2 linked regions of the Drosophila melanogaster genome follow. The protein of the gene in region 1 purifies or fractionates together with the protein of each later gene. This does not show direct contact. Each region holds a gene or a part of one and is shown on either strand. Other genes may lie near its edges.

What was found. The genes of interacting proteins can lie anywhere in the genome.
Region 2: the proteins of CG15286 (region 1) and sunz purify together in Drosophila melanogaster (affinity purification with mass spectrometry, with the first as the bait; one large-scale study listed by BioGRID). This does not show direct contact.

What each region holds. Positions count from the first base shown.
Region 1 is NT_033779.5:14,335,795-14,341,840, forward strand, and holds CG15286 (uncharacterized protein), read left to right. Parts: upstream 1-2,445; 5' UTR 2,446-2,606; coding exon 2,607-4,142; 3' UTR 4,143-4,286; downstream 4,287-6,046. Other genes in the region: CG33090 (uncharacterized protein), read left to right, coding at 5,513-5,782.
Region 2 is NT_033777.3:6,627,023-6,632,370, forward strand, and holds sunz (sungrazer), read left to right. Parts: upstream 1-3,128; 5' UTR 3,129-3,222; coding exon 3,223-3,576; intron 3,577-3,631; coding exon 3,632-3,739; intron 3,740-3,797; coding exon 3,798-3,998; 3' UTR 3,999-4,162; downstream 4,163-5,348. Other genes in the region: sowi (solwind), read right to left, coding at 1-122, 211-318, 372-731; CG15177 (uncharacterized protein), read right to left, coding at 1,386-1,592, 1,643-1,753, 1,809-2,168.

The sequences.
Region 1 (6,046 bases):
CGCACATTCTGATTGTAGTTGTCCGAAGTCACAGCATTTACTGACCTACCAAATGACCCATATTACAAAATGTTCACAGTGCAACGAACTTGTGCTTCACTTATTCACTCACTGCTTCAATTTCTCAATTCAAATGAAAATTTGGCAAGCGAAAATATGACTAACTTCTCTAGCAATTCGTACATATGACGTGTGCAGACAGGTTTTCCTTAGTCGCCCTGATAAGGCTAATACATATTTTTTATGAAATCTTTTTATAAACGCTTATCAGTTTAGTTGAACAGGTGCCTTTTTTGGTTCTAAGTGATAACTCTTAAAAATACTAAAGTTCGTAAGAATGGGAATCCAAAAAACATACATATGTTATCAGCTTAGTTGATTAGAGCTCATTTCAGATCTTCTACAATAAATAAATAAATAAATAAAATAAACTATGAGGAATTGATGATTCGATTTTTATGAAGTGATTATGAGTCACACTTTTAAAAATGCGTTATTGAAACATATTTTTTTTAATTATCAATTATGATTCTTTGACGTTTATCTGTGCATATTTACCCCAATCTAAGGCTACCGAGTATAAAAGTATCATAAAATATTTTAGCGGTTACTAACAATATCTGAAAGTTAGCCTTATCATAGCCGAAATGTTATGTCATGGCGACACACTGATAGTGTTTTAGCTTTAACCTTTTTTTTTTTTGTCCATTTCCATGCGACCTTATCAAAATTCGACACAAATTGTGCTTAGATCGCTTATAATGATTATTCCTTTCGACACAACTAACCTATCTCCAGTTATTAAATATCGCACTTATACAATGCTAAGTGAAATGCTTTTGTTTGTCGCTTCAGCTGCGTAAACATTTACAGATTATATAGCTTGATTTAATTTTTTATTGTACAACTAGTATACACCGCTAGTAGAGATTAGAACACCCACATCAAGGTTGACGACTAAGCGATTTTCCAGCCTCAGAAAGTTCTCATTGAGGGCTGATATTCCAACCTCGCAATGAGTTATTATTGCGCAACAATATTATTACTTCATAAAATAAAATATATGTCAATTGGGTTTCTTCCTTGATTGACTTTCCTTAACAGTTCCAGTTCAATGTATCTTTGATGACACAGTTCCGGTCATTTTCCCTCTTCTGATTACCAACTATTTTTCACCCAATTTCAATCCAAGCCAGCAGGAAAACGTCACCAGTCAGGAAGAGCTTACTTCTATACACAGCAGCACACCCGATTCCCTTTTCCTGGAGCACCCCCATCCACATCGAATCCTTTTGGCAAACTTCCAGGGCGAGTGCAGCATGTGCTCCTTGATACTCTGTGAGCGAAGCCAGAAATAAGGGGTCTACATATCCTTAGAGCATCTCCAGGATGCCTCGGCAAGTGGAGGATGCCTTCTAGTGGATTTGGGAGTAAAAAAAAATCTTTGAATAGCCCCGGTCTTCTGGTAGACATGTGCATTCGTAAATGGATAATAACATAGTTCGTTTTATTTTCCTTTTACTCCACTCTCATCGCGCACTCAAATCATATGCCCGTCGAGGCGAAGCACTTTTCCTTATTGTTTTCCCATGTCACAACTGGAATTTTGTGGCAAGATGGGATTGGGAGTCTTAAAAAAAATGAATTCCCTCCGGCGAAAGAAATTTCGTTTCGCAGCATTTTCCCCTCTTCTTGTGCCTCTCAACTTGTCACTTTTCACATTTTGTTTATTTTTGATGCATCTTTCAGTACTTGAGTTAGTTCTTTTCGGTCTGTTGGCTTGCGTTTTTAGATTGGAAATTTTCCCAGGAGATTTGATATTTATAGAATGTGTACATTCAACTCGAAAAGTACAGCTTAACTCGAGTTTTTTTTATTCACAAATTAAACATTAACTTACAAACTTACGATATCATATTTAACCTGTCGACTAAAGTTAGCAAACTAAAGCTAAACTGAAGGCTTAGGTCAAAGTAGCTTAACTAATTCCCAGGACGACACACAAAAAAGTCATACATTAGTTCCAGGGAGCAATTTATCCAGGTGCAGGACTACGTCAGCTAACTTCATTAGTTACTTGCCACAAGCAATTTGATTCTTGTCCTCTCACTGCCACCCCCTTCCAATTCAACCTCCCCGTGGGCCTTCGCTTGACCCACGCTGACCCGGAAAACTTTTCCCCCAACAATTTCACAAATTGTGTGGAACATGAAAGTTTGTTGCACAAGCACAAAATATATTCGAAACGAGTTCGGCTAACACCTTAATTGGGCGACTGAGTTGGTTTTTAATTAAAAGACTATTTCCATGACACGACGGTGACCCCAGTCCGCTTTGTATCTTAGCTACTAAAGAGAATCAAAACTAAATGTAGTTCCAAAATATAACAAGATTTTTAAAGAGTCCTTCCTAGACTTACACAATTTGTGTGCCTCTAGTCGGCTTGTAAAAATCAGTCGAGCCAGCCAGCTCGAGTTCGCTACCAGTTGTTAGTTAAACTATTTTATTGGATGAAGCTCGTTGGGGATTTGTTAACCTAAAGTGATCGCCGGGCTATTGGCAATCCGATCCTGGTGATCCGATCCTCACCAAGCAGACGCGGAACAATGACGATGAATCGCCACGAGCGTATCGAGTGCAAAGGATGCGGAAAGCGGTCCCTCACCTTCAGGTGCTATCGCTGCCTGAGCTGCCAGGACTTTGATATTTGCGAGGAGTGCTATGACAATGACTTCACCACATCCACGCATCCGTTTGACCATCCGGTGGTATGTGTCCTCATTCCGGCAGATGTGGAACTGTACTTTGGTGGCGAGTACATCAGTAACTATCCGCCGCAGAGCTACCGCTGTCCGTACTGCAAGAGATGGGGCTTCAACGAGTCCACCTTCCTGGAGCATGTATCGGCAATGCATCCGGATGCCAGTCCCCTGCTGGTCTCCACCATGGTCGGTCTCTTCGAGCAGCAGCAGGCGGCACGTCTCTTTCTGGAGAATGAGCAGTTGGCCTCCATTGCCGTGGCCGCCACATCGCGCAACGAACTGATGCGTCGCCCAGAGGGCTCCATGGCCCTCTACTTGGAGCCGCTAAATCGGGATGGAAGCTATCGCAGGGTGGTGGAACGGAATAACGAAGATCGTTCGCGGCGCTTGTCTCCGGATGGCCGTGATCGGCTTCAGGCTCTGGTCAGAGAGCGGTACTCCCGTATTGCACGCCGAAGTGCTGCCAGAGTTGGTAACATGACTTCCAGACCGCTGCTAGCGCCTGCTCCCGGTGACGGCTCCCGCTTGAGTGGGATACAGGAGAGCATAGAGGCAGGCCAGGGAATACGTAATGTCATTGTGGAAGAGCTAAGCACCTCCAACTACGATCCTCCATTCACCATCAATGCCAGTGCCAGTGCCATATTGGAGCAACAGCAGCAGCAGCAGGTGATGGGACCAAGCCCAAATGCCGCCGCTCCACCTATCGTAACACACCCATCGCTGATCGAGATGATGCGCTTCTATGACGAGGCTGGCTTGCAGCCATTTCCAGCTTCATCCCGTCGAGTCATCCGCACCAGGCACGCAAACCCAGCTCAACCGGCGGCCAACATCGGTAACAATACACGGAGCATAAATGTTTACGGACCCACATCCGCTTTTACCCAGGCGTCGCACAATACTCGATCCTTGACCGCCCCCGATCTGTTTTCGCTTGACGAGCGGTATCGTATTAGCAGGATGCCCATGTTCCAGGCAAATCCCGGAGCACTACATCGCCAGGGAACCGGGACGCGCGCTTTGGATACGCGCGCCGTGGAATTCAGTGAATTTCCGCCGGAAGAAACCGAACTGCCCCTCATCCTGGGCACTTCCACGATCGAGGACCCGTCGAAGCTGACCAAGCAGAGGGATCAGGAGCGCAGGCGTTTTCTCTGCTATCGCTTCACAACACCCAGGTCATCTAAGCGTCCCCAGAATCATTTTCTATTGCAACGCGCCGAATTTGTTTCCCAGGTGCTTTACTCCGCCTTGTGCGATGAAGATTTCCAGGATATTTCCTTTCCGATCTTGAGAAACATTCCAAAACTGAGGACCATTCCGGACAACGTCATCTCCGGTGCCGGCGATGCTGAAAAGAATCCATCTAATCCGTAATCCATCAGAAACTGTTTTGTGTACAATTTATAGCAGTTCTTATACCCTTTGTATTCGTTAAATTTCCTGTTCATATCGATGGAACTTTTGGTAACTTGGCTAAAAGGCCAGAAAATTAATAACGTGTTTGCATTCCTTTTTAAGATGGATACAGTTTTTTTTTTGTTTATTTTTATTTAGTTTCGTTTTTATTCAAATTGAAAATTCAAATTGAAAATGCTTTACCATTTCACTTGTCAATTGGACAGCCAGCAGTCGTTATTTTTCAGCTTTTGAATTAGCCAATTCATTTTTTGAGGAGCCGTTTTCTTGACCCCATTAAAAATGTGCCAGTGTAGATAAAAAGAAAGATGATTGCAATCTCAAAGCCTTATAATCTGCAAGATGAAATTGCAACTTTTTAATTGAAAATAATTGGATAATGGAAATTGAACCGCATCTGTGCGAAGCTTTTCTTGTTGAGTGACGTCAAATGAAAATCCCTTTGAGTGTCAAATAGCTCGACTTTTATTCTGTGGCAATCATGAGGGATTTTGGCCAATTTGCGCAGTGCCTTTCATTTATTTGTATTTATTTTAAAGAAATATGATTACAAGCCTGGTAACTTGAGCAGAATTAATAACCTATCTATACACATTTGATAAAAAATGAAAATGTTATAAGTTCATTAATGACGCATTTCGACCCTTCTTCTGTAATTAAGATTTTAAATGATTTTTGAGGGAGCGCCCAGTTTTGTTTGAGCTGTGTACAATGTTTGCCAAAGGAGCGTTTTGAAAAGCACTACATTTTTTGTAGATATATGATAAGAAGACAAACTGCTCGTTTGAGTAATATAATATTTAAGCAAAATTTAAAAAAAAAATAGCCTGATATTTTGGTTTAATATAACCAATGAAACAAACAAATTGAAATCGAATCGATGACCGCTTCCTATGAATCAAAAGATGATTATTGAGGTTTAGATGGCTCATTTAAATATCAGGTTCGTTGGGTTGTAAGTCATTTACGCATTTCCGTATGGGGCAGACAACATTCTAGCCGTGCACTTGACTTTGGCAACCCGCGCCACCCGCTGACCTTCAATGAGGAGGCCTCACAGCAAACCCATGGGAGGGCAAAGGGAACGTGTTAAGCTGCCACTGCCACAAATGCCCTACGAATGTGCCGAACACTTGGGTTTGTTGGGGGGGGGGAAAGCACTCACAGTCATGACATCATCGGGGTCAGGGCACGCAATTGGATTGGGCCAGGGGATTGGGCTTGGAAGTGGGGATAATGGGAATGGGAATGGAAATGGGGAGCACATTAGCTACGAAAATCTGATTTTTCATTGGCTCACTCTCCGTTTCTGATTCTGTTTTTCGTAGATATGCGGCCTACTACTGGAAAGTGTCGCGTGAAGGTCGTCGGGTGTACATGGACTACTACTACATGGAGAATGGCAAGCAGATCTATGGAGTGCCCATCGGCGGAATTGGAGGTGGTACGATTGGCAGGGGCTATGCCGGCGAGTTCTGCCGTTTCCAGATGCGTCCCGGCATCTACGAGTACAATGTGGTGCTGGCCAATCAGTTTATCGTTACCATCAAGGATCCCAAAGGATGCACCATCTTTCAGAGCCTCCTCTCGAAGTGCAGGTGAGCATATGACTTTCGACCGATCTGTCTCGCATTCTATCCCTTTTCCATCGCATTTAAGATTGTTTTAAGTTTTACGATTATTTTCTCTGCATTTGTTTTCCACTTCAATTTTCCGTTTGTTATGCGTGATTCGTGTTGCTTGCATGTTTTGAATTTATATTCAGCTCTATAAAATATATGTATATATCCTTTGACGGCTGCCAGCTGAAACTTCTTCCATTTGCTGCATTTACATATGTATATCTGGTTGGATTTTCCAAT
Region 2 (5,348 bases), on another chromosome or scaffold:
AATAACCAACCTAAGAACTCCACTAAAATTGGCTGCTGTTCCACGACAGTAGAATAGTCCTCGTAGGAAATGACTCCGTCCTTGTCCAGATCAAACTTCTTCATTAGGAACTCGGTCATATCCTAAACAATCAGACAGATAGTTAATTAGTAATATCCATTAAACTGTTTTAATTACTACTACGATTAAAGAGTAATTATGTTTACTTACCGCCTTAAGTTCATTAAGTTCATCTTCGTCTTCGCCGTAAAAAAATTTTTCACAAGCCGTGCCAACTTGCTCGCGATCAATAACGCCAGTGCCTTTGGTATCATAGACCTATGGGAAAACGTATTTTCGATACAAATTTACTTAAGGATAGCAGGACTGACCTCGAAAGCAAATCGCATTCGCACTTGAATGTCATTGGTTGTGTAGAGATCGAAGAGGTGGATCCAGGCCCTGGGACTGACATATTTCGTATCTTTTGTGATCGCGAGCAGAGTGCGTTCGATCACCTGGACACTGGCCACGTTGAAGAGCACCAAGAAGATCTGATAGAACTGCTTCTTGGTCATCTGCTTGCACTGCGGTCCGTTGGCCTTTGAGAACTTGTAATAAACGACGAGCAAACAGGTGATGTCCGTCTGGGACAACTCCGAAGTTAGGGTTAACTCCTTGATCAAACTCCCGTAGAGCGCTGCAAACCGACTGTTCTCCATGCTATCTATGGTGGCGTCTAGGTTTTCCATAACTAAATTCTTTTTAATGTTTTTTATTTCCTTGTAAAGTTTTTTTTGTTATTTTTTTCCTTATTTTGAAACTTTTTTTTTGTGTGTGTTTTCTTTTTCTAATTTTTTTTTTTTTTTGTGATTTTTGTGTTATGTTCGGGTTGGCAGATGGATTTTGAATAACAATGTTTAAAAACTATTTCGTATAAGTTCAAAGGCTCCTGCGTCGCATTTTTTCGTTTTTGGCTATCGGAATTATATAAGTATCCAAAACGGCTCATAGCGCCGTTACCCATACAGTATTCTTTAAAGTGTGCATATCCACTTGATCAGAGCCCCGTGCAGAATGTGAACAGAGATTTTGGAGAGCTTATGATGCATACGCAGTGTCTGCTAGTTCACATAAAGAGTCGCCCACTCTATCGCCTTATATAAACCAAGTTAACACAAGAACCAATCGCAAGTCCTTTTAAGACAGCTCACGCGAAACATTTTGCTTTATTTTCAAAGTGTTGGTGGAAATTTGATATATCATGCTTATAAAAATGATTAATTTGAAATCATACAAAAATTTTGATCAACTACTTTGGCGGCATCCTTTTGGTCCTCATTCATTGTCGTTTGTCGTTCGATTATTATCACAGTGGGATAATCAAGCTTAATCAAACGACAAGCCTATTTTGCGTCCGGATTACAATAATTGAGCATGGAGTCCATGTTGATAACATGGGCCATAAGATCCCTTTCTTCGTTCGATGGAAATAGCCAGCCCAAGAACTCAACCAAAACGGGTTGTTGTGAAACAACCGAGGAGTAGTCCTCAAACGAAATGACTCCATCCTTGTCTACATCAAACTTCTTCATAATAAATTCAGTCATGTCCTGTGAGGAGTAAATTTATTAAATTATTCTAAATTGATAAGCAAGCTTACCGCTCTGAGCTCAATTAGTTCATCTTCGTCGTCGCCTTCGTGGAAGAATTTCTCGCATGCCACGCCCACCTGCTCGCGATCGATAACTCCGGTGTTCTTGGTGTCATAAACCTAATAAAGAACCCTATTAGAGCCTTCTAGAAATGCTTAACAATCCATTACCCACTTCAAAGGCAAACTTCATACGGCGCTCCAGATCCTCTGTGGTGTACAGCTCAAAGAGATCAACCCAGGCACGGGGACTCACGTACTTGGTATCCTTGGTGATGGCCAGAAGGGAGCGTTCAATCACCTGAACATTGGCCACGTTGAAGAGCACCAAGTAGATCTGGTAGAACTGATTCTTCTTCATCTGTTTGGCGCCAGGTCCGTTGAACCTGACGAACTTGTAGTAAACGCAAAGCAAACAGGTGATGTCCAAGGTGGACATCTTCGAGGTTGCAGCGATCTCCTTAATCAATCCACCGTACAGGGCCGAGAACTTGCTGTTCTCGGTGCTATCGACAGTGGAGTCTAGGTTTTCCATGGTTCAGGGAAGCTCACGGTGATTTACTCTTTACTTTGATTTACTACTGGATATATGATATTGTTTGATTATCGATTAAGGAGTTACAATGATTTAATGGATATGTCTAGTGCAGCTGGCATATGTTTCCTTCGCCTGCTTTTCTGGATTTCAAAAATACAAAATATATGGTTGCCCTCTTTAAGCGTTTTATGAGAATTAAAATGTTTCCAATTTCGCTTCCGCGCCATTTGTCTTGCTTAACAAATTTATGCCGTAAGTCTCTTCCAAACACCGTACGTAAAATATATCAATCAAAAGTCCATACCAAAATCCAGCCCAACTTGCCTGTAAATCCGCCAACACTTGGCGATGTCAACTGTGGAGACATTAAGGAGCGTGAATCCTTGCCGCCCTCTCTCCTTCATCATCCACTCTTATTTTATTGTTATTATGCCGTGTCGAGCTGCTCAGCCGCCTCCTCATTTTTTTTGGTATTTCGGTGGGCGTGGCACGTGTGAGTGTGTGCTTGCGTGAGTGTGTTTCGAAGGGGGCATACAATTATACAACAAAGGGAAGGAGATTCCGAACATTTGTTACCCCAAACAAAATGGCTACACAGCCATTTCCGACGAATTTCCACATGGAAGGCTTTACACCCATCTCAGCGCTTTTGTTTGGATTATTATATTCGCGTTTCTCATGCGCACAGCTTTCAGCTTTTTTCTCAGCCTTTGTGTGTTTCATCAGGCGGGTTTGTTTCAAATATTTATTCGAAATGGGGGACAGATGTAGTCCATGTAGCGTGGCTGATGTATTTTTTATGTCGCGGCGTTGTTTTATCGCTTTTAAATTGCGCCAGTTACATTCCCGGCGAATCCTTAGGCTGCGGCTGCGACTTACCCAATCTATTTGCAATTTGTCTTGCATAACCCTCACCCTTTTAAGCAGGCCAGAGCCTCATAAGTTAGGCATTTTCATCACACACCCGAAACACACGCCCCATTACACAGTACTCTCTTAAAAAACATTTTAAATAATAATTACTTGTTTACCATTGCCATTAAAAAACACAATGAACCGCATCGACCTTACCCTGGACGACATGGCCAACAACAAGTTCCTCACCATGTACAGTACTTTGATCAAGAGCTTCGCTGCCTCCACGGAGTTTTCCACCAACGAAGTGGTCAGCTTGCTGATCGTGTTTTACAAGTACGCCCTGAACAACAGGTCCCGCATGATGTCCACCAGCCAGCTGTACAATCTATTCCTCGTCAGCTTTGGGATCTTCGACGTGACCATCATCGACCGGATTTCGATGAATATCACGCAGGATGGCCGATCAGTCTCTCCAGAAGCCTGGATGCGGCTGTTCTGTGTGTTCTTCAACGGAAGTCTGCAGGAGCGAATGAAGTTCGCATTTGAGGTGGTTGCTCCGAAATCGTGGCTACTCCTTTATTAAATTTCCCCATGGACTACAGGTTTATACAAGCGGTGGTGCTGTGGTTCTGAATCGCGAGGTGGTCGGCGTGGCCATTGAACAATTCTTCACTGGCGATGACGACGACGAGGTCAACGAATTGCGAGCGGTGAGTGTACTGACATTATTGACAATTATGCTTGCATTTCAGCACCGTTTCCGAGCAGGACATGTGCGAGTTCATATTCGGAAAATTCGACACTGACAAGGATGGGGTGATAGCGTTTGAAGAGTACGCCGAAATTGTACAGAATCAGCCTGGATTGCTCGAGTTTTTGGGTAAAATATTCCCGGATGACAAGGACAGATCACTGGTGGCGTACTGCCACAACATTGAGTCTATGTTTCCGCCAGAAGGTTTATATTAAAAGAAAGAAAGGAGGCTGTTCCTTGTGGAAAATTCTTCGTATTTTGCATAATTGTATACATTCTCAGCCTGCTAAGGAAAGCTTTCATAAAATAGCGCAAGTGTTGAAAATTGGCGCTTAGAGGCCTGCAAGCCGGCTTACAATAAAGTCATTTTCCATTAAGTACACACTGGGAAAAGTTGAAATTGCCTCCGCAGACTGCGACTGCCACTGCGGGCTCCACTGTTTTGTTTTTTGTCCCGAAATCTGTGTCTTGTGTTCATGTTCAACTCCTTCCAAATGCTTTTCGATTGTGTGTGGGCGGTGCGGGAACTTTTGTTTGTCTATTTTGCGGCTTTGTAGAGCAATTAAATTTGCGCAACATATGCGGGCACCGGAGGCAAAACAAGAAAAACTCACAGACTCAGCAAAATTCTAATTAAGTTCCCCCAAAAATTATATCTATGGAGGTGGGAGATGAAAGAAAACGAATTTCAAACGTAAGTTTGTTAAAGGGAACCTATGGAAAAATAATAGCAAATTTGGTCCTCGAAAACTGTCGGACTAAAATTGGCTTCGAAAAAATGCATTACTTTGCTTTTGGATTGTTGTTAGCATTAAGCCCATTACATATACGAAATGGGCCAATCGCAAGTTGGTAGATTCAGAATAATTACCAAACATAAAGTAGAAACTATATAACGGATGTGATATCCAAATGCCTTGTTCTCCGCAGAAACCAATCCTGTCAGCTGGAATTTTGTGGCAGTTCTCCGACAGTTGGGCGAATTGTTTAAGAACATTTCTAAGACGAGACACTACAAGTTCTATACTGCGGTTGCCTTCCTCTGACATTGGGCCTGCCACAGATTTCTAACCATCTATCAATTGCTGCGCGTGCGACGGGGCGTATGGGTAACCTCGAAATCGAGAGCGCAGAACTGAAAGTTGGCCATCAAGTTGTGTGTGGGGCAATCAGAGAGATGCCAGAAATCGGATTGCTTGGCACAACAATTTGGTGACCCAGAGTCATTGACACGCCTCGTTTTCGGGGCATTGGCTGGGCATTAAATTCAGCGCGTGACTTTCACCCCAGACTTTTCGTTGCTGGCCCGCCTCAGAAAATTCAGCACGAGCCCGGTCCGGGATAATGAAAAAGGGATCTGAAAAGGCTCAGTAGAAAGCATGAAAAGTGACCGCGACATCCAGCTGGGAGCTGTCCCACTGCTTCTCCGTTTTTTCCTTTTTTCACTGGAGTTCAGAGTTCGTCACGACTTCGCCACTTTGCTGCAAAAGGGTCCTTGGCTTGTTGTCCTTTTTCAGCATTAACACGCGGCCTCCTGTTGCACTTCAGTTAAAATTGCGAGGGCC